Linked DNA regions of Lonchura striata. The protein of the gene in region 3 binds, or shares a complex with, the protein of the main gene of each other region. Links are inferred from orthologs where the notes say so. Each region holds a gene or a part of one and is shown on either strand. Other genes may lie near its edges. The genes, in order: SGSM1, NDE1 and RAB9A.

Region 1 (7,259 bases), on a different chromosome or scaffold from region 3:
CAGGCAACATGGCTGCAAAGCAGGGGCTTCTCTGAAAGGGTGGGAGGAAGAGACTGACTGCTGTTCCCATGACACATGATGGAGGAATTAGTCAACAGCTACACAGTGACAACCGTTCCAGCTACTGAAAAATAAACAATATATCTGGCAGAAGACAAGCAGGCTGTGGTCAACCCCAATATTTGAAAGAATTCGAAGAACAAGCAGCAAAATGTTCAATCCAGGTTCAACAGTTACTGATGAGTAAAGACTCAGAGCTGCTTCCTGAGTGGTGAGTTAAACATAAACTAAGTTTTTGCAGAAGAAAGACCAAGATGAGTGTTTGCTCTCACACAGCACTCAGCTGACATTCCAGGGACACGTGTGCAGGTGGGATTGCACAGGTAACACCTGCTTCCCTTCCTCTGTGCCATGCAGCTGCCTGGAGGGAGCTGAAAACAGACCTCAGCACTTTCCTCCGTGCAAAACAAAACTTGTAAAAGAAGGAGAAAATTTCTAATTACAAGAGGAATATTTCTAGTTGAAAACTCACATCCCTCCAAACTTGAGTATTGCTGGGTTAGTAAAAAAAGCCTCGTTTCATCTGATAAAAGCTCTAAAAAATCAGAGAATGTTGGTCATGCTGCTTATCCTGCATAACAGGACACAGGGTGCCTGACAAAGTCAGACTTCACCCCTTCCCTTGCAGCCTGCTGACAAACAGTCAGTTTTGCAGCTTCCAGGGTTGGTTTGATTTATTGTGGCCATATGGGGGTGGGGGGGAGGAAGAAGATGGTGACAGACAACACAGCTCATCTCAACCTGCACATCCACTGCAGCACAGGACTTCTCCAGAACCCAACGCCTTAACCATGGCAACAGCCAAATACTGAGGGCTGCTCCGTGCCCTGGCTAATTCCAGTTTATTGTTTCTGTCCCTGCTCAGATCAGCCCTTCTTCCCAGTGTTTGTCTTCTCAGTTATGGCCCTGGGGTGACAGACGTGGCACAGCTCCCCAAGGACAGCCCTGCCTGTCCCTGTCCTCAGCTGGGCTCACCTGCACTGAGGGCTGGAGCAAAACCAGGCGTGGCCTCGTGAAGTGAGAATAATACAGCTTTGGGAAAGGTTAAAATTCTGGGAGTGGGGGAAAAAAACACACCGAATTTCTGCAACTGGCCCTTTCTACTGCTCCTTGGAGTCTGCACAAGCTCCTGACTTAACCTGAGGTTGGCCTAGAAGAGGAATAAAAACCAAAAGCATGAGCAGAGAGCAACAGGCACAAGAATGCCCCACCTGCTCCTGGTTTCAGGGATGGTGCTGAATAATTGACTCCATAACCTACAGGATGATGTTTCCCCAGGTTTTTCACTCCTACCAGAGCAAAGCCCAGGTGGAGAGCACAAATCCTGCATGGAACTCCCCCACCCACAGCCCCCATCGCTGGACCCAGCCCCTGTCCAAGCTCAGCACTTCCAGCAGGAGTGGAAGGGCAAGTGGAAGGCAAATCCCAATGGAATGGCAACCACCTGGTACCTGCAGGGAGCCCACATCCACACCAACACCCCGAGCAATGGGATCACCAGGAAAAAGCCTCTGCTCTGTGTCAGCACCAAGGGGCTGCTGAGAGAGAGCCAGGAGTGTGTCAAACTCACACTCACAGCACCGTGGTGGCACTTCACAGGGCAGGAGAGCTTTCCCCACACAGTCCTCCCTCCCTCAGGCTTTACCCACATTCACCAAACCCACATTATCTGCCCCAAACCCACATTATCTCCCCCAAAGCCAGCAGAAGGGCAGGAACCAGCCCCAGCTCTGCTCCTGGAGGTACCAGCTCCACTTTCCCCCAGCCCCTAGGAGCCAGCAAAGCCAGGCACTGAAGGGCAGCACAGGAGAGGCTCTGGGGGATGCCAGGAGCAGCCCTGGCTCCCACCCTGCAGCAGCTGTGTCTGCACTCAGGAGCTGCCACAGACAGCAATAATGAGATGGCAGCTCTATCCACAACGCTAAATAAATGTCATGCCCTTTTCCTGGTTTAATAGCCGTTGCTGAGGCAACCGGGAGTATCCCTTAGCACCACACCCGGCACAGGATTAAAGGTGGGAAGTGGTCTGGGTGGGCAGCGCTGTCACCCTCCCCAGACCCACCACCCACGGGTCTGCTTCTCCCGGCTCCAAGCAGCGTCTTCCACTCCCCGGGAGCCTGCAAACCGGAGAGCGAGATGCTCGTAACACCAGAAACAAAACACCACACACCTCTCCCCCCACGTCCCTCCGGCATTCCGGGAGGTGACCTGCGGGGACAGAGCGTGGGCAGGACACGACAACATCTGCCGCTGACCCAGCGCTCCGGCACCGGGCGGGACACACGGGATAAACACGGAGCTCCAGGCAGCTCAGCATGAAACAACGCACAAACTAACAGAGTTAAAGATGCCTGAGAAGGGGGAGCACGGCGAGATGCGGAACGCCATCACCCTGCACCGGGCACACACATTTGGGGCTCCCCGTCCGCAGCATCCGCCGCCCCCCCGCCCTGCCAAGGAGCGCCGTGCTGCGGGAGGGCTCGTCCCATCCCCGCTCCCGAGGGAGGGATGCAGCACCGGGAGTCGCCCCTTTTTCCTGCGGAAAATCCCAAGTCGCGGCGTGCTCTGCCCCCAGCCAAAGGCGATTTTCCGAGGATGCCGGGCACTGGCGCTGCAGGGATGCTTCTCCGCCCCCCGGGACCCGCAACCGCGCCAGGGTGGGTGGGCTCTCGGCCGCACTCCGGGCTGGTTGTTGGGGGGCTCTGAACCCCAAAAGCAGCAGCAGAGCCAGCGGATGCCGCGGGCGGGCCCGGAGCTCCCCGCGGGCACCGGGCCGGGGCTGCTCCCGGGGGTCCCGCACCCACCTCCTTCTTGACGGTGCGCAGCAGCCGCTGCCGGGTCTCCGCCTCTGCGGGGAGAAACGAGCAGAAGAGACGCGTTAGTGCGGCCCTGCCCCGCCACCCCCGCTGCCGGTGCCCCGGTCGCGCTCCCCGCCCGCCGTACCCGCCGGGGCCGCCGCCATGGCCGCGCTCGCTCCGCAGCGCCCGCAGACTGCCGGGCACCGGGCCGGGCCCGCCGGGCCGCGCCGCCCCCGCCCCGCCGGGGAGGGGCCGCCGCCGCCGCCAATCCGCGACCGGCACCGGCTCCCCGGTACTCGCCGCTCCGGCACCCCCGGTACCGGCATCCGCGCCACTCCCGGCATCCGCAGTCACCGGCACCGCCGGCTCGCCCCGTACCCCCGGCACCGACGGTGGCCCCGGCAGCGCCCCGAGGGGCGAACGGCTCCGTGCCGGTGCTCTCGCCCGGGTGTCAGCCGGGACCGGTGCCATGGTGCGGTCACACCCGGCTCGCAGCTCCCGGTGTCGCCATCACCCCCCCCCCCCGCCAGGAGCTGAGTCCCGTTATCCCGGCCAGGCTCCCGCACCCCCGGCCCGGCCCCGAGGTGCCCGGGACGGCGGCGGCGGGGCTGGGTGACACGGGGCGGGGAGAGCCCTGGGGGTGTCCCCGCACCTGGGGACGGCTGGGGCAGTGGACAGAGGTTCGGAGCTCGGCGGGTTCCTCGCAGGGGTGAAACAACCGCGTCCTTTCAGGCGTGAGCCATGCGGGCCCGCTCCGGTGAGCTCCGGCACAGCGGGAAGGTGACAACGACCAGAGACCCCCAACGCCTCCTCCCCAAATCACACCGGCACAGCCCCTCGGAGGGCGCCCTGCCTGCAGCTCCGTTGCCATCTCTTCTGTTTTCCTCTTCCCTGGTTTACTGTTCCAGGACATTTCCATAGAAACAGCATCCTGCCTCCTCCGCAGTCCAGTTTCCAATAACTACGAACCGCGGCAGCGCCGGGGCAGCGGCCGCCGCCACGGCCCCGCTGCCACCGGGCTCGGTCCCGGTCCGGACGGCTGGGACACCCCCGCAGCCCCCCGGCCTGCCCCCGGAGCTGGGCTGCATCCTCTGCCTCGGAGCTTTTCCTGCCGTGCCTCAGTGTCCCCAGTGACAGCAGGGACCAGCATCCCAATGGATGGGTCCCTCCACTGCCCAGGCTGGCAGGAGAGCAGGAGGGAGCTCCGGCCTCGGGGCTGACCCCAATCTGGTCCCTTCTGTACCTTCCAGGGCCAGGAGGAAGTCTGGCCCATACCCATATTTCCATGTACTCTGTTTGTTTTTCGCTGTTTGTTTGCTTTTTAAATACCCGTTTAGCACAAATGTAACTCAAGGGAATGAGAGTTCTGGACCAGATGGGTCCAGAATCTCTGGGAGAAAATCGTCCGAAAGAAGCACAGGGACAAGCTCCCCCCAAGCCTTGCTTGTTCCTTTTCCTTGGAAAAGCCAGGTGGGAGACGACTGGCCCCTATTTTCTGGAGCTTGGAGAGCTTAAATGAGAGCACGTTGATCTATACTTAATGTGATTAAGTTACATCTCTGAGTATCATGCTAATTAAATTAAACTTCCCACTGCTGCCTCTGAGGCTTAAACAGGATAGTTGTTTTAAGACCACAATTCACTCCCCTGCACTTTCCTGCATGGATGAGCAGGTGGGATAAAAGCATTCTGCTGATCAAGCCATCATGGTGTTTAGAAACAACTTCTAAAGCAAGGGATATTCAAATTTAAATCTGATTTGAGTTGGATTGAAACTCTGCATTTTCAGTCTGAAGTGATTTGTGCTTTGAATAAGGAAAATAACAGGGAAAAAGCAGAAGTAAGTGGCTGAGGCAGTGCACAGAAGCAGGATATTGGGAAGAATTCCTCCCTGTGAGTGCTGAGGGTGCCCAGAGAGGCTGTGGCTGCCCCTGGATCCCTGGAAATGTCCAAACCAGGTTGGATGGGGCTTGGAGCAACCCAGGACAGTGGAAGGTGTCCCTGCCATGGCAGGGGGTGGCACTGGCTGATCTTTCAGGACCCTTCCAACCCAAACCATTCCATGATGTGCCCAAGACACCTCTCCCCCTGCCTTCCTCCCATCTCCAGCAGCTCTTTCCACCTTGCAGCTTCTAAAAGCACGCGGAGATCTCAAAGCTCTGCCGTGATGGATCTGACAGCGCGGCCCTGCCCCGCTGCCGGGAGCACCGGGAGCATTCACGGCTCATTCCCCAGCGAGCCCGGCGGCTCTGCCCGGGATGGAGCTACCGAACCGACGGCTCTGCTCAGCCCTGGGCATCCGCCGTGCCCGCTCCGTGCCGGAGCGCAGCGAGCTCCCAGCCAGCAGCGTGAGCATCCCCGCGCTGCAAACCCCGCACGGCTCCGGCCGGCAGGGCTGTGCGAATAGCTCCGGCCATGGATGTTCCTGCAGGACCAGCTCTGCCCCCCCGGGCGTGATTTGACAGCCCGGTGTGAGGGAAACAAGAGATTCTTCAACGGAGAAAGGAGCTCAACTTGAAAGGGATGCTAGAGTTTGAACAGCCGCTACTTCACGCTGGGAAATGGGTCCCTGTCCAGTGCTCGAGGGATGCTGGGGGCTGTCCCTGCTTCCCGCAGACCCCACAGATCCCCGAGACCCCTGGCCGTGCCTGAGCCCATCTGCTGAGCCCTCCTGAGCAGGGGCAGGACGTGGGCACAGAGGGGTCTCCCACTTGTCCCAGCAAACCACCCCACGTAACCCACACCTGAAGAAAAGAAGGGCCAGCAGAGAAAGAGCTGTTCTTTATTCTCTAGTCTCTATTATCTGTTCTCTAGTCTCTGTTATCTATCCTCTACTCTCTATTCCCTATTCTCTAGTCTCTATTATCTGTTCTCTAGTCTCTGTTATCTATGCTCTACTGTCTATTCTGTATTCTCTATGATCTATTATTTTTCACAGTTGTTGGGGCACCAGCTGCCTCAGTTCTGTTATTTACTCCTGGAGGTGATCTTTGATCAAGGGGTTAAACCCCGCTCCACAAGCAGCAGGAATTCCTCCCCTTCATCCCAAAACCGGGACAAGGGCAGCTCCACTGGCAGCCCCCACAGCCTCGGCTCTCATCTCCACTCCCCCGCTGAAGGGTTGGGATGCACGGCTCTGGAAAGTGCCAGGAGGGAAACAAATCCCCTATAAACCACAGGAGATTAACTCTCCCTCACCTGTGTGCCGGGGCGAGCCACACCAGGTTTAGGAGCAGGGGGTGATGGAGGGGCTGTGCCAGGACCCCCCAATCTCTGCTCGCTCCTCCCCAGCCCTGAGCCCCCCCAGCCAACCCCTTTTTGGGGAACATCCTTGTGGTTCCACGTAGCCCCACCAGCAGAAAACTGCTGTATTTCACAGGAGAGGTGTCCAGAGAACAATTATTTCATCTTAAAGCCACAATAATTTCAGGTCCCACAGTGGAGAGGGAGAGGGTGGAGTTCAATCCACCCTGTGGAGGGACTGACAGGACCGGACCCACTCTTAGGCTTTTCCAAGCGAAACAATTCCATGATTCTGTGATTCCATTCTATGATAGCCAAAGCAGCCAGGGCCAGACATAAACAAAACAAACCAAAAGAATATATAAATGTGCTTTTAACTGGAGGTTTCTAACTGTTCCCCGTGTGTGTGCCTGAGGGATTAACAGTGTCCAGAGGCTTCCCGTGCCGGGCAGCTGCGTCACGTCGTCACAGCAACCCGCTCACCATGGCCCTGCAGCCGCAGCTCCCTCCTGTAGATTCTTTTAATTAAAGATGGGAAAGGCTGTGAAAGACAGGGCTGGAGGCCCTCAGAGCCCCGGGAGAACCCGGTGAGCCCAGGTCTGTGCAAGCCCTGCACAGACACCTTCCACTGCAATGAATTTTGCTGTGAAACTGCCACAGGGCAGAGTGGTGGCTTTGGGGATGCTGCCATCCCCTCCTGGTCACAGCTCAGCTGTGAAAGTTATTTCACTTTTGTGTGGCTTTTCCCCAGCAATTCACACCCCAGAGAGACCTGTCGAGCCCAGATGGATGAGATGACCTTTAAAGGTCCCTTCCATTCCAAACCACTCCATGATTCCTGAAGCATCAGTGTCACCTCCTTAGCAAAACACACCAGGGAGAGAGAAATAAGGATTTGTCAGGAGGAAGGAGGAAACACTGTCCCATTTTACCACCTCAGCCCCAAAAACTGAGCCAGAATCCCCTCCCCTAGGTGGGACCCACGGGGTGATGTTTATTCACACAAGGTGAGGTTGGTCCCTATGAGATGATGCTGGTCCCTGCAGGGTCAGGTCCCTGTGGGATGATTCTGGTCCCTGTGGGATGATGCTGGTCCCTGCAGGGTCAGGTCCCTGTGGGATGATGCTGGTCCCTGTGGGATGATGCTGGTCCCTGCAG
Region 2 (7,495 bases), on a different chromosome or scaffold from region 3:
ACTCTCTGAGCAGATGTCTTAGGTAAAGAAAATGTGCATACACTGCACATCTATTGAACTCTATGGAAGAAAATATCTTTAACCTGTGTCAAGACTTTGCTTTCCAAAAAATTATCTGGTATAAATAAGATTGAGTAACAGCCACCTACTTAGTAACTGTACCGAGACAAACCCAAGTAGTTCTTAACTCTACTATGGACAAAAGTACTTGAAGCAGTCTGGCAGTCTAAAAGCCCAATTCTTACATACCCAAGCAATGCCACAAAGCCCAACTCCTCTTCACAGCCCAAGTAATTATCAGATTATTGAGCAAGGAGTAAGCAGCATCACAGCTGAGTGGGGCTGTGCCTGCATACCTCAGTGCACAGTATCAGCTACACACTCACAGAAATTACATGTTATTTAAAAGGGGAGTTGGCAGCCGAGGAGAAAAGTCACTAAGCCTTAGTTTTATAACTGAGTTTGACACAATGTGTTCATTAGCCAAGGCCACATGTGTTCTTTCAAACAAATAAAAGGACTGTGTAATGTATTGACACACTTCCAGCATAAGGTTTCAAGGCCGAAGAATGCACTGGACAAAAAAAGAGGAAAAGGAGTGTGAGTAAAAAGTGATTTCCCAAATAGTACTCTTGCCCATTAAAAAGAAAATCATGACCAAGCATAATTAACATTCTTGACCTAGGATAGTTTATGTCACATCTCCTCTGTTACTTTTAAGTGAACTGAAAGTGCCTTTGATGTTAATAAGCATGTCCTTCTGCTCAAAGCACTGTGCACACACATACTGATCCTTGCAGCACACTTGTGGAGAAAAAAAAAACCAAAAATGATTTTTTTCTGACACAAGCATTATAAGAAATCAAATATCTGTGTTTGGACAGTCAACAAAAATAATTCAGGGAAGATAAACTGCAAGACAGCTTGCTCTGAAAAGCTTTCAAACAACCCTTTGGAACCAAAAGACAGCTTCAATCAACTTCAAAATCTTTAATATGCTCAGATCTGGCTTCTGTGTTTTTATATTACACTTTGGAAGAACTAAAAGACTATAGTAATTAGAATTTTTTGAGATTGTAGAGGTGCACAGAGAAGAACTTTCTTTAACTGACCCATACAATCCATAAGGCTTTCAGAGAACCCTGTGAATATTCACAGCAGCACAAAGGGGCTGCACCCTTCAGTGCCAGGGATGTCTTTGTGAACATGAGATTATAGTATGAGCCCAGTGAGGATGTCATCCATTAAGGGCTCACTCTCATTCATGGCCACCATTACTAAATAGTATTTATAATTTAAAATTAATTGTTCAACTGCAAATACATGGAAGGACAGTGGACCTGTACTTATTCCAGAGATGTGGCAACTGTCCTGTGCCAAAGGCATGTTTTTTGCTGTAACATTCAAGGAAGACCTGTTACTTTCCTTCCCTCCACCACATCTTAGCTCAGATTTTCAAACTAACCAAAGACAAAAAAATACAAACTTAAACTTTAAAGAAAAATTCCAAGTTTGAGACAAAGTATAAAAGCTTTTTTAAACTTTTTTTCTGACATTTGTCTAAGAAGAGTGCAAATAAAAACCACGTAAGTCTTGTTAAACTCCCTGTAGAAAAGGCAGGGCTGTGACTGGTTTTCCCCTGCTGCCTTCTACCTTTGATTTTTAACAACTTCAAGACAACATGCAAAATGCCAGAAGAGAAATTAATCAGGAACTCCTCATTGTCTGGGCTCACTACAAAAGCAGGGAGAGCAAAGGGGGGGTAAAGGAGATTTTAGAAATTTATTTTTAAACACTGGAAAAGGTGGGGAAAACGAGGAGGGAAAGCCAGAGTCTGTAGCAGGCACACGCTGGCTGCACCTTGCTTGTTCCAGCGCACACGAAGCCGGGAGGGACAGCTGGGCAGGCAGCACAAGCGCTGCTCACAGGCATCGCAAACTCCACAGCATGCAGGAAGGAAGCGATCATGGGTGGGGACTGGAATTTTGCAATAAAACACGGCAGCATGAGTGTTGCGGAAAACAATTTCATACCAGTGAGAGCAGAATTGCGAAATTCCACAGGAAAAAAAGCAAGTATCAAGAAAAACAACACACAAAATTATTGAAGGAACTTCAGTTTGGGAATCAGTTTGAATTCACCCGAACTCATGAGGGCCCCAACCTACATTGTTTCAGTCCTAGAACAAAGGACTCAAAACGACCCTGATACTGAACTTTTTTCTTCACAAAAGAACATGCTCAGTGAACAGTGTTGACCTACCTTTGTAGCAATGTCTAAGTCAAAGAAATTCACATTGTAATAAAAAAGTGAAACAGTACCAGAAATACTACTGACTTATCCATGACAGAGATTATAAATTTCCTATTAGACATTATTTTCCTAAATGTAAACCAAAATAAACCAGCTCTTTGCTCCCGAAAAGCAGCTTTCCCATCCTATGAAATTCAGATTTGCTTAAAATATTCCCCTTGAAAGGGTCGTTCTGTAACACATGGGCCTGTTTTCTTTTGTTTAAGCCATACAAAAGAAAATCACCACAAAAGAGAAAGAAAAGGGAGAGGTCACGGGAGCAGCAGGATTACTACAGAATCCCACAGCCAGCACTGAAAAGAGCCATCGGCTTCTCCGGGGCTTCTCTAGCAAAAGGCTGAATTCAGCAAAACCCTCCTCCTCCCCGTAACCAGCCCAGCTCCCATACTTCCAACTTCCCAGCGCCTCCTGAGGGAACTCCGCACTGTTCTGCGCTGAAGGGCCTGACCTTGGTGGTTGCAGCGGCTGCGAGCCCGGAGTCAGCGAGGCAGCGCGCCGCGCTCCATCCCCTGCGGGGCGCGAAGCCGGGCGGGGGCCCGCTCCGCTCCCCGCCCCACCGGCCCCGCACGAGCAACTCCAGAAGCAGGTTCAGGTCCGCGCGGGGCGGCTGCCGGGCAGGGTCCCGTGTCCTGGTCCCGTGTCCCCGCTCCGGTGCCGGTGTCCCGGTGTGCCGGTGTGCCGGTGTCCCGGTGTGCCGGTGCCCCGGTGTCCCGGGCCGTGCCGGGCTCTCACCGCGCTCCCGCCGCGCCCGCACGGCCGCTCCTGGCCCGGCCGGCGCCGCCGCCCCATTGGCTGCCGGTCACGTGCGGCGGGGCGCTCGGCCAATCAGCGCCGCCGAAACGCGCTTCGGAAACTTTGGTGACTTTCAAAAGCCGCCGGGGGTGGCGGCCGCGGCCGGTTCCGGGCTCGTTCCTGTTCCCGTTCCCGTTCCCATTCCCAGTCATAGGGCTATTCCCGCTCTCGGTCCTGTTCCCAGGCATGTTCCCGGCCCTCGTCAGCCTTGCAAAACCATCTCCCCCCTCCCCCCAAATCCATTTTCAACGACCTACAGTCACACGCACAAGGCTCCGCATCTTCGGAGATGCTAAGCGTGTAAACCAGCACGCGCTGTAATTTTAAAGGCGTGGTTGACCTTAAAATTATCTAAAAGAGGAAAAGCTTTACATTATTTTTTTTTTTTCTGAATTCAAAAGACCTCTGCTGCCAAAGCAAGCAGCGAGAGAGCGCCGGTGTCTATTTTTAACGCCAGCCCAACATCTTTAGACCAAAGTGCCCTTTTCCCCAGCAAGGACAGGTTTCTGTGTCGCAGTCTATGAAATATTAGACACTTCCACTCATCCCCATCCCAGCATGATGTCACCATTGCAGAAAAGGAGCGGCCTCCGCAGGGCTCCCGTGAATTCCCCGCCGCGCCCCGCAGGCAGGATCCATCCATGGGAAGGGGCCCGAGCCCTGCAGAGACTTCCCCAGGCTGCCCCGGGTGTGCTCCTACCGACTGTGCACACAGACTCGCTGATTAGTGCTGCCTGGCGATGGTTTCCGGAGCCAAAACAAAAACACAAATTATCACACGTGTATCACTGCGGCCGCGGAGGCAGGGCCGTGTGTCACCGGGTGTCACCGGGTGTCACCGAGTGCCACCTCACCCCCATCAGCGCCGCTGATGGCACCCACGAGCAGCAGCCCGGCCCCAGCTTTGTTTCCCTCCGCTGTAACACCGGGCCTGGAGCACGGTCTGGTCTGAAGAGACTCGCCTAAACTGGAAATCCGCCTCCCCCAAAGGCTGTGTAAGGCTGGGACTGTAACCAAGCGTGGATGCTTTTCCATAAATATTGCACTACAAGGAATCTGTCCATAACTCAGATAACTTTAACAGAAAAGGGTGACAAAACCTATTCTACTTTCTTGTCAGGCATTCAGCAAAATAACTATATTTTTAGGTCAGATGTTCAGCAGAAGTAAATGGAGACGAACTATCATAAAACTATGAAGAGAAAACTACATAAGGCATTTTAAAAATTGGGTTAATAGCATTTGCAGTTCTGTCATTACCAAAGAATGTTTCTATTATCAGATAAGTTGCAGAAAATAAACCACATACTATTGTAGCATGTTGCCAGTAATTAAAACAAATTATACATTGTTCACAAGTTTGGGACAAAGGACATTTTACTTCAACACTTTCAGCAAATTTTTGAGGATAGTATGAAATACTTGTAAAACACAGCAAAATTTCTCAGACTTCAGAGGAAGCTGAGACCCTCTCGTCCAATTCTGAAACAGTGAAACAGCACCCTAACAAATGCCAGGGGCTCAGAGGCACTACCAGAGGCACTACTGTACACAAGCAATAAATATTCTTAAAAAAGGTTACTGTAATCACTGTGATTGCCTTGTTTGCAAGAAGAACGAGAATACTTGTCTTTTTCAAAATTAGCAAAGGAGGAGAAATTATTTTATGCATTTATTTTTAGTTTGCTGATTAATAATTAATAACTGGCAGATCTTTGTGGTGCTAAGATTCATGTGCTGGTTATTTTAATAAGAAGGCCTCACTGATTCTTCCACAAAAACTAAGTGGACAAAAATGTATCCACTGTAAGTTCTGGTAAGGTTGTAACACCTTATCATTTCTCAATTACCTTCTGTTGGGAAAAAATACTTGCCTTTCTTAGAGAATTAAATAACTCACCACACCACCCACTCTATGGATGGAACAGGACCTGCTCACCAGTTGTCATTACCAACTATTGAACTGCTTTTTTATTTTTTTTCAAATGAATTACCGACACCCATGAATGTGACAGACGTTTTAGAATATCATATGGAAATATTGCTATCACTGAAGAGCAGGTATTTAACATCAAGAAAACCTTTTTTCTGTCTCTAAAGATGTTATATAATTTTGTGCAGTCTGTATATGCAGAATCAGATTTGCACATGCTTAAGCAAGAAGCAGATTCTCTCTGCTTTAAAAACCTTCTGATATCTCGAACTGACACATTTTTGATGAAACTGTCAAATGCTCATTAACAGCACTGGTTTATTAAGCAGAGCAGAATACAGCAGCTCTCTCAGCCTTGGCACACAGCAGTGACACCCCCAGTGACCCTGGCAATCTTGGCTGTGGCTCTGAGCTTTGCCACCAGGGCTTCTCCTTGCTGCCGGCTGCAGTCTCTTAGGCCAAAGTGCAAGTAAATTCCAGCTTAGCCTAATACCACAATTATGATCAAAAGGTACTGAGGCACCAAAAAGCAGATCCCACCCTGTGGTGTCACTAACCTCCCTCCTTGAGGGGCTCAGCCACCAGCTGAGGAGCAAGCCCAGCCTGGGTGACGTGGACTGGCTGCATGACTTTGGCCCAGCCTTCTGAGAGAGCTGTTAAACTGTGAGCCAGAGCCTTGTCTGTAGAAAGACAAGAACAGGAAAACTAGAAATGGAGGACAGGTTGTTGAGGCAAGCACTACTAGCAACACAACGATGCAAGAGGAAAAATGCCACTTTGCAAAGTGATAGAATCCTAAAGAGAGTAAACCCCAGTGACCTCCAGCGAGTTGCCAGTGCCACCACATCAACAGACCAATGACCCCTGAGTGGATGCCCACAGATTTCTTGATGCTTCTTCGGCCAGCAGACTTCAGGTGTTTTGTCAAGGGGTGGGAACACACTAATGCCTAATCCAGTGGGTTCTTAGAAGGTTGTTCTTTTTTTGTTGGCCAGTCATTGATTTGTATTTTCAAGCTGTGTACATCTGACTTGGGGAATAGCTGATGATGCCCAAGGCACCCAGAGAAAGCACAGAGACAGACATGTCTGTTAAAATAAGCAAACAGAAGGTTTCTGAACTGGAGTGACATTTAACTGCTGTCCTTGGGCTTGGGACTATAAACTGCCATCAAGGGAACAGGCTTCTAAAAATATTTTAAAGGGCATGTCCCTGACAAAGCTACCCAGATTTTTTTGTGTGTGTGAATTAAGTTTTATGTGAAACTTTGAAATCTGTGCAAGGTGTTCAGAATTGTTACTTACAAGAGCCCAATTCAGCACCCTGGTAATTCCCTTATTACCTGCCACATGTCTGAGCCGTGACCACACCTGTTCAAGTACCTGCTGGGTGGCCAGGCCACTCTGAAGGATTTCCTGGAGACACCGTTTGTTATCTTATTGTTCTTTCATCCACTGTGCAAGAGCCAAGCAACACTCGGTTTTGAGGCAAGACACTTGGTTTTGTTACCATTCTGCAGAACAGGGTGTCAGGCATTTAACACAGGTGCTGCACCTTTGAGGAAACCAGCAAAGTCTTTTATAGAAAATGGCAACAACAAAAGAATGATTCAGAAACAGGGGATTGGTCAGCTGGGATAGGGTTAATTTCTTCTCAGTTGCTGGTACAGTGCTGTGTTTTGGGTTCAGAATGTGAATGGTACCAATAGCACACTGATGTTTCGGTTTTTGCTAAGTCATTTTTGTCTTAAGGACTTATTTTTAGCATTATAGTAACTTAATTTGAGGTTATATTTCATCCTATCAAGCTCTTATTTAACCATATACTCTATTAGTTTCTGCTTGAATGTATTTGAACAATTAGTTGTCAAGGAAATAAGGATTTGTGGTGTTCTGTTCCTGGGGACTGCATTCCTCCACTGCTCCAACACCCCGCTGTCACAGACCCGTGAATGGCTCTGCTTGGAAGGGACTACAGGAAGGCAGCTGGTCCCACCTCCCTGGCTCTGGAATATCTGCAGCGAGGGAGACTCCCCAGCCTCTCTGGACAATGTGTCCCAGGGCTCGGGCACTCCCAGGGAAGAAGATCTTCCTCGTGTTCAGGTGGAGCTTCCTGGGCATCAATTCCTGCCCGTTCCTGCTGTGCCATTGCTGGCCCGGGGAGCAGAGCCCGGGCCCTGCTCCGAGCCCTCCCTGCGGGCCCCTCTGCGCGGGCACTCACGGCTTCTGCGCCGGGAGTCTGTGTGTGTTATACCCGGGTCTGTGTGTGTTATACCCGGGTCTGTGCGTGTTCACCCGGGTCTGTGCGTGTTCACCCGGGTCTGTGCGTGTTATACCCGGGTCTGTGCGTGTTCACCCGGGTCTGTGTGTGTTATACCCGGGTCTGTGCGTGTTTCACCCGGGTCTGTGCGTGTTCACCCGGGTCTGTGTGTGTTTCACCCGGGTCTGTGCGTGTTCA
Region 3 (7,672 bases):
GCACTATTGAAAATGCATGTGAAGGTGTAAATAGCAAGATAATAATGTTTGCCTTTATGGTTCAAGAGAGTTAAATTGAAAGGTGGCTGCAAAGAATCTTGTGATACTGAGTGACTGTGCAAGCAAAAGGAATATGAAAATTAACTGCAGGTCACCACAAGTAATGGAATAAGAAAAAATAATCAATTCTCTTTACATGGATATAGTCAGTGGCTCTAAATTAGCTAATACCTCTAAGAAAAAATGATCTGAGAATGGCTGCATTTTCTTTTGGAAACTCACTTGCACTGAAAAAGATCCAATATATTTTTCTCATATTTCCTGTACTGGCATTGCAGTCCACCAAGATGTGTAGTGGTGGAACACAGGATCACTTTGTAGTTGATCTACTTGCTGGTTCCTTCAGAAGTAACTATTTCAAGAGCACTGTGTGTATATAAACAACCCCAGGCCTGCCACAACAAATTCATATTTGACTCATTAACACCAGACTGGTTCACTGCCTGTGCATAGCAGAAAAGGGGACACAGAGAGAGCTGCTTATCTCAATTTCCCTCAAATGAAGTGTTCTTCAGTGCTTAACTAAGCAAATTACTCAGATGGCTTCATAACACTCCGCTGACTCTGGCAGAATTTCTTCATAATCTTCCTGGCAATTCAATTTCAGGTCTTCCAGGTGGTATATTCCCTCCCATGTACTGGAACTCATGCCAGGAGGAAGAGACAGGAAACACATGGGATATATCTCTCATCAACACTACCTGGTTAACTTTATGTGCATCATCCTCATAATCCTAAATTCAGCACACTCCAGTGTTACAGAAAATGCACAGGAATCTCAAGACGTGGAAATAAATAGCATGGGCTGCCATATCAGGAGAGCTGAGCAGCATTACTGCCAAGCTCATCCACTGCTCAGTGCTGGAGGCTTTATCTTGTCACACAGAAGCAGCATCAGTTCAACACCAGCCTAAGGAAATCCAGGGCCTCATCCACCTCCTTCTCAGAACTGGATCAGAGCCTGAAAATGTGAAAGTGACTCTTGAAAAGAACAGCCACCCAAGAAGTCACTCTTTGCATGTATCAACAAATTTCAAATGCTGCGATTGAAAGTGTTCTCACAAAATGAAATCTGTCATAAAATACGGCCCAATTCGTGGATTTTCAGAGTCTAGGAATATGACATTTATATAGGATTCCCTTCTGCATATCATTAAGGATAGAGGGAGATGACTGTTCAAAACACTTTGTGTGGAGTTGCGTTATTTGTATGTTTTATTATCCCTGTATTATGTATTGGTTTATTCCTTTGTGGGGCGGGAGCACGGCAACTTTGGCCTCGATTTAATTTCATTTAATTATAATGCTTTGCTTCATGGTTCATATTATGTTTTTTGGGTTTTTTTTTCCTCTCTTGCTAGTAGAAGGCAGGGAGCCTTTTTAAAAAGAGAATCACATTTCCACATTTTGTCTTTTTCCTGGGAACTCTAAAATCAATACAAATCCAGACTTATGGACAAGATAACCTTTAAACAAAAAAAAAATTAAACTGAAGAAAGCTTTTCAGGAAGAATTACAGTGGTGGAGTACAAAATTAATGTCATAAATCCTATTATGCCATTAAGATAGGACACAATTTTAAAAATAAAGTAAAAATATATTAAAAATTATGAATAAATTATATCCATGTACTTGGTTTTGTTGGTTTTTCTTTAAAAGTAACAATTTTAAAAAAATCAAACAAATTACAGAGGCGTATTTGAAGCATATACTATTCTCTACAGAAACCTTATGATGGACCAATATTTTTCCAAATAGTTCTCTGGATACTCAATATTTTACCAGCTGCCAGAATATCTCCATCTTTTGAATAGAAGCCTATGTTTCTAGAAATGCAGATGCTTATCACAGCCAATACTGAAGTTTCAAGGAAGTTATCACTGGTACACTGATATTATCCTGGAAAACCATACAGAGACAAAGACATACACATATATCATTACACATGTATACATATATGTATGAATTTACTGAGTGTATAATTTTAATATTTTTTTAATTTGCTTTACTTCAAAGGTATTATTGTATCTGTTCTATAAATGGGAAACTGGAATAATGATGAATAATTTTATTCATTGGATCAAAGACAATTTAATGGAGATGCCCAAACTGTCCTCTGAGTGAGGAACCAGTCTCCAGGAGAGGCACCCTCAATTTTGATCCCATCTCAAAGGAGGGCTAATCACAAGGAAAAAGCCATGTTCTCTTTTTGCTTTCCTGCCAAGGGAGCTCTGTGACTTTGTGGTAGGCACTTTCAGCTGAGGACATAAGGAATTCGGTATGTACTGTTCTCATAATCACACAGGTACAGAAAGACTAAAGAAAACTGGCATTTAAAGCCTTGGAGCCCCAAACTGAAATGAAACTGCAAACTCCTGGATGTTGCAAAGAGAGCTGCTGCTGAATTCCTGACATATGTAGGCTACAGAAATAATTCAAAATATGTAACACAGGCCCCTGCATGACATGCCACATTTGAACCTGGAAGGTTCTGATCCTGTTCTGCTAGTATGTTACTGTGTCATTTCTGGACAGTCATACTTCAAACTCTTGATCACTGGTTTCATAAAACTCTTTGGCATAGGTTTTGTTCCACTCTTTTTTTTTTTTTTTTTTTTTTTTTTTCCCGTGTGAGACACAAAGACGAGGCAAAAAGGAAGCCTGATTTCAACTGTGGCATTCAGCTACTCATTGCATCACATATTCAATCGCTGGTGAATTCATGAGTCTGGCACAAACACACTGTGAGTGACGAATTGAACAGCATTAGCAATCAGTGTATAATGCAACCATTTCAGCTCTTTCAAGGGAAGGTTTGAGATCACTCAGTGATGAGCACTGATAAACTGGTTCACTACAATAATTTATCTATTTTTTTTTACATCCTCTACAACAATGCAAGGCTTTTTTTCTCTGTGTGGTTAGTAATGGTGATGTTCATTATGTCAAAATAAGGAAAAAGAGGTCTGCATTACATGATATTCTTGCCAAAACATATTTGGTGCCTTCAGGTAGGTAAAATCAGATTACTGACAGCAGAGGGCAACACAGACCTCATTAGTGAATAAAACCAAAAACATGTATTAAAAAATCATACAAACATTTTACTGTATTGGAGTATAAACCCCAGCATCATTTATAGATTTACTGTAGAGCCAAAATTCTGGAAGTAGCAATCTCTTAAAAAATAATTTTGAACACCTATGTGAAATACATGAAATAGGAAGTACATGGGAAAGAGGAAAGCATTATAACAAAGGCAATGACAAATACCTTTGACTAAACTGCATTTACTTTTAGACGTTTACTGCATAATCAGACATGTCCAGCAGACTTCATCATATCAAAAAGCTGTAACCTTACGAGACTTTATATTTTTTTTTAACTCTGTGTATACCAATAGCTCCATTTAGCTGATTATACCAAAAGCAACACAGTACTATATTGAAAACAGGAAGTTTTACAACTTTTTTGTTGTTGTTCTCCGTTAGCCTTTATCTTGTGTGTCACACTGCCTTCCCTAGCCATGTTTGCCGGAGAAGGACCATATAATGACTGAAAGTTTCAAATCACATGAATGTCATTTATTTTTCATTCATTTTAGGGCTGAGAGAAGCATGGTGGGGCTCGCAGACCAATACCACAAGAAGGTCATGCCCTGCCACAGGGCAGCATCATGGTGTCCCTTTCGCCCCACAGCCAGATCCAAGTACCAGATCCAAGCCCAAAACAGCCGGCAGCCTCAGTGGAAAGAAACTGTGCCCGCACACCTGAGGCTGCTTGGGACAGCGAGTTATTTCCAGGGCTGCCGCCCGCTCGGGAGCGTTCTCACCCTGCGGCAGCCACGGGCACAGCACAGGAGCCCACAGGGAATACACCTGCCACGGTCATCCCACGGCAGATTCACGGGATCAGTTAGCTTGGAAAAGAGATCAGTGCTGATCAGCTTGCTCCGAGATCAGCGAGTCCAGCCCCTGACACAACACCGCCCTGTCAGCCAGACCACGGCACTGAGCACCACGTCCAGACGTCCTTAAACACCTCCAGGGACAGTGACTCTGCCACCTGCTTGGGCAGTCCATTACAGCATCTAATCATTCCTTCTGTGAAGGAATTCTTCCTAATGTCCAATCTAAACCTCTCCTGGCACAGCCTGACGCTATGTCCTCTCATCCTGCCACTAGCTGCGTGGGAGAAGAGGCCGACCCACAGCTGGCTACAGCCTTATGTCAGGTGGTTGTAGGCAGTGATAAGGTCACCCCTAAGCCTCCTTTTCTCTCGGCTAAACAACCTCCGCTCCCTCGGCCGCTTCTCCTAGGACATCTGCTCCCAGCCCTTCTCTGGACACGCTCCAGCACCTCAGTGTCCTCCCTGCAGAGAGGCGCCCACAAGTGGGCACAGTACTCGAGGCGGCCTTAGCGGTGCCGAGCACAGGGAAAGAATCGCTTCCCTAATCCTGCTGGCCACGCCATTCCTGGTACAACGAGACGTGGTTTCTGTTTCCTGAGACACGCGGAGCCGCCCCACGCCCGGTGTCCGCCCGCGCCCCGGCGGCGGCGGGAGCGGCGCGCAGCCGCGGGGAGATGGCGGCGGAGCGGGGAGCGGGCGGGCGGCGCCATGGCGGGCCGCGCGGCGGAGGTGAGGGCGCCGGGGCGCGGCGTGCGGGAGCGGCGCGGCGTGCTTCGCCGGGGGCAGCGGGAGTGCGGCTTCTCCGCCTCACTAGCGTCCGGGGAGCCGCCGCCCTTGCCTTGGCGCTGGCGGTGAGGTCGGGGGAAAGTCTCAGAGGCACAAGCCGCCGGCTGCTCCGCAGCCCTGGTTTGCCCTTCAGCGCCGTGCCAGCCCCGGCTGGCCCTGGGGACCGAGGGGAACGGGGAGCAGCGCCCAGAGAAGCGGGGCTTTGGTAGGTAGGGCTGAGCTTGCTTTTCCTCCTGGCCCGGCTGTGCGGGACAGTATTTCGCCCCTGAGCAGGACAGCAGTGGGTCAGAATTAAGCTAGACGGGTCCGGGGATGTGTAGTAGGAACGGATATGAGGAGCCAGAGGAGGTTTAAGTTGGAAATAATTAGAAAGAATTTGTTCACCACGGCGATTAGGTGCTGGAATGGGCTGCCCAGGGAGGTGGTGGAGTCACCGCTCCTGCAGGCGTTTGAGGACGTGGCACTCAGTGTCATGGTCTGGTTGACAGGTGATGTTCAATCACAGGTTGGACTCCATGATCTCAGATCTTTTCCAGCCTAATTAATTCTACGATCTTGTGAAATTTTAATTAAGAATCTGGAGAAAACCCCACAGAGTTAGCATGTCCCTGGCATTCTGGGTCACAGAGTGTGTGGGCACGCCGGTGTCGTGGGAATCGAGCACAGGCAGATTTGCAGGCTGATCTCCCCCAAGCTTCATGGCCTGGTGACCGAGATGAACACTCCAGTAGCGATTCTCAGCCGCTGGTGGCATGAGCCTGACCCCAGATCTCAGCCAGACAAGCTGTCACCTGTGGCTGGCTTCGACGCCAAGCGAATGTGAGCTGCTTCCAAATGCACACGACTGGGCTGCTGCTCCCAGCTGCCGTAACTTCTGTAATTCCACTCACAGAAGAGGCTGACCTCGGAAGCTACAGGATGGATATCTGTAATGGTGCTATTATGGGAATTCTTTATGTATTTTTTATATTGGTCTCCATGCAGCATTGATGTCTTGAAATAAGATATATGTTGGTATAAATATAGAAAGGAGCTAGAGTCCATGCTTTTAAATGTAGTATTGTTTTAATAGTTAAATAGATAAAAATCCATTTCATTTAAAGTGTATTTCAACCTTTGCTTAAACCAGTGCATCATGGGTCTTTGATCAAGGCTCTAAAGTATTAAGAAATTTTGTACTTTCACTTTTAAGTGTTCATATTTTAGCATAAGAAATGTCAGCAGACACTAATAATATTTTACAAGTACCATTTGTTTAAATCATACTCTTTATCCATTCAGAATGGATGGCCTTTTCAGGAGCATATGCACTCTCCTGCACACAAAGGATTTATTTTTAAAGGAAAAAAGTTTTATAATTTTTCAGTGGAAAACCTGTAAAACAACAACAGTGATACTTAATCTAAATATGGCCCTGGCAATGGAATGACAAATAGAAATTGTGTAGAGCCAAGACTTAACTAAAAAAAAGAATGTTAAAGCAATGAAAATACAGTGTTTATCTGACAAATGATGACAAGCTTGCAGAAGTTCATAAAGCATGTCTTTATTACTTACGTGTTCCATTTTTATATTAATTTGTCAGTACAGTTTTTCATAAAAAGACATCGGAAACTTAGCATTTACCTTTACTTGTAGTGGGCTAGAATTTAATTCCTTGGTAGCTGTGTATGATTAAGAATAATCTTTAAAGCTATTTTGTCAAGGAAATGTGTTCAAAAGAAAGCATTGCTTATTTCTCTCCAAAATGATTCATATTTTCATTCTGAAGTATTAAGTTAACAAATGTACTTTAGATGGATATGTCTTAAGTACATTTTTACTTACTGATTTAGGCTTCTGTTTTCAAGACAGTCTGTTTTGTTGGACTTCTATGCCAATGCAGAGCTCAGTGAAAGCAGGAAATGTGATCCACTCCAGGAAAGCTTTGTTTAGATTGAGGTTGTCCAGGTTTCAAATAGGTACATCTGCAAGAGGATATAAACAATATTTGTGCAGACTGAAAAACAGATGGAGACGTAAGAAAATTTGATGAGATCTTTCACTTAAAAGCCAGTGTTATACCTGCAGCTCACAACATGTTCTTCTTTTCTGTAGGTTTAAAAAGTTCTAATTCTTCTTGGATAAATGAAAAAAAAATTAAGATAAAATTACAAAATAGTGGAGGAAAGCTGTAAAACCAAGAATGAGCATGGATGGTAACATCTTTGTAGGTAAACAGGGAAAGAATTTTCAGTCTTTTGTCGTTTTGTAGTAGACAATTGTTTTATACATAATTTTGTAGTTATAATAGAACATGTAAAAGTCTGGTTTTTTTTCAAGTACTGGCTGCTGGAGACATGTTTTGCATAATACTGTAACCTTTCCTTTTTAAAAAAGGTGCAAATTCCCTATCATTCTGTCTGAGGTGGAAAGATGGGAAGACAGTTCCCATTTTTTTACTTCTAAGAGCATCATAGTGTATAAACCAATCTCAATGTACCAGGAATTTTGAATTACAATTTCCCAGTCTTTGGGGGACAATGTTATGAATGCTTCTTGTGCACAGAGATTGAGTAGAGGGAGCAGAGGGATGCAATCCCAGTGGTGTTGAAACACCAATAAGACATAAAATTAACTGAAACTGTTACCTGTATAAGGCAATACAGTTAAAGGATGTTGAAAAAAATGGTTTCTACTTGGAGATATCACAGCCTTCTTGAATTATTTTGACTGGTTTGCTGTCTGAAGTGATTGGAAATATGAATATGAACATTTGCATCCATCCAGATGAACAGTTAGGAGACTGAACTATATTGCATAAAAGTAGTTATTTAATAAATGATTACACAAACCCACTTAGAACATGTTTCTATTGCCAGGAATGTTTCTTGAGTGAGGGAGAATGTTTACAATATCCTCTTGCTGTGGGAAAATA

What was found.
Region 1: the proteins of RAB9A (region 3) and SGSM1 are in contact, whole or in part, in a crystal structure (PDB 4QXA), measured with the Mus musculus proteins. The link is inferred for Lonchura striata from reciprocal best matches to the Homo sapiens genes RAB9A and SGSM1. Residues at the interface, in NP_062747.1 of Mus musculus: Phe37, Thr39, Ile40, Gly41, Val42, Glu43, Phe44, Leu45, Trp61, Arg68, Phe69, Leu72, Phe76; in NP_766306.2 of Mus musculus: Leu256, Leu257, Tyr258, Gly259, Lys260, Asn261, Asn262, Tyr277, Asn294, Met297, Asn298, Gln361.
Region 2: the proteins of RAB9A (region 3) and NDE1 are in contact, whole or in part, in a crystal structure (PDB 7E1T), measured with the Homo sapiens proteins. The link is inferred for Lonchura striata from reciprocal best matches to the Homo sapiens genes RAB9A and NDE1. Residues at the interface, in NP_001182257.1 of Homo sapiens: Ile40, Val42, Phe44, Asn46, Gln59, Trp61, Arg68, Phe69, Ser71, Leu72, Pro75, Phe76; in NP_001137451.1 of Homo sapiens: Asp99, Gln102, Thr103, Ala105, Ile106, Gln109, Leu110, Tyr113.

What each region holds. Positions count from the first base shown.
Region 1 is NC_134620.1:10,992,527-10,999,785, forward strand, and holds the start of SGSM1 (small G protein signaling modulator 1), read right to left. Parts: upstream 3,074-7,259; 5' UTR 3,023-3,073; coding exon 3,004-3,022; intron 2,909-3,003; coding exon 2,865-2,908; intron 1-2,864. UniProt on the Homo sapiens protein: Interacts with numerous Rab family members, functioning as Rab effector for some, and as GTPase activator for others. Promotes GTP hydrolysis by RAB34 and RAB36.
Region 2 is NC_134618.1:9,076,559-9,084,053, reverse strand, and holds the start of NDE1 (nuclear distribution protein nudE homolog 1), read right to left. Parts: upstream 3,052-7,495; 5' UTR 2,762-3,051; intron 2,727-2,761; exon of another isoform or gene 2,702-2,726; intron 1-2,701. UniProt on the Homo sapiens protein: Required for centrosome duplication and formation and function of the mitotic spindle. Essential for the development of the cerebral cortex.
Region 3 is NC_134604.1:99,181,931-99,189,602, forward strand, and holds the start of RAB9A (ras-related protein Rab-9A), read left to right. Parts: upstream 1-4,632; 5' UTR 4,633-4,643; coding exon of another isoform or gene 4,644-4,698; intron 4,699-4,728; exon of another isoform or gene 4,729-4,960; intron 4,961-7,672. Other genes in the region: TCEANC (transcription elongation factor A N-terminal and central domain-containing protein), read left to right, coding at 4,644-4,698. UniProt on the Homo sapiens protein: The small GTPases Rab are key regulators of intracellular membrane trafficking, from the formation of transport vesicles to their fusion with membranes.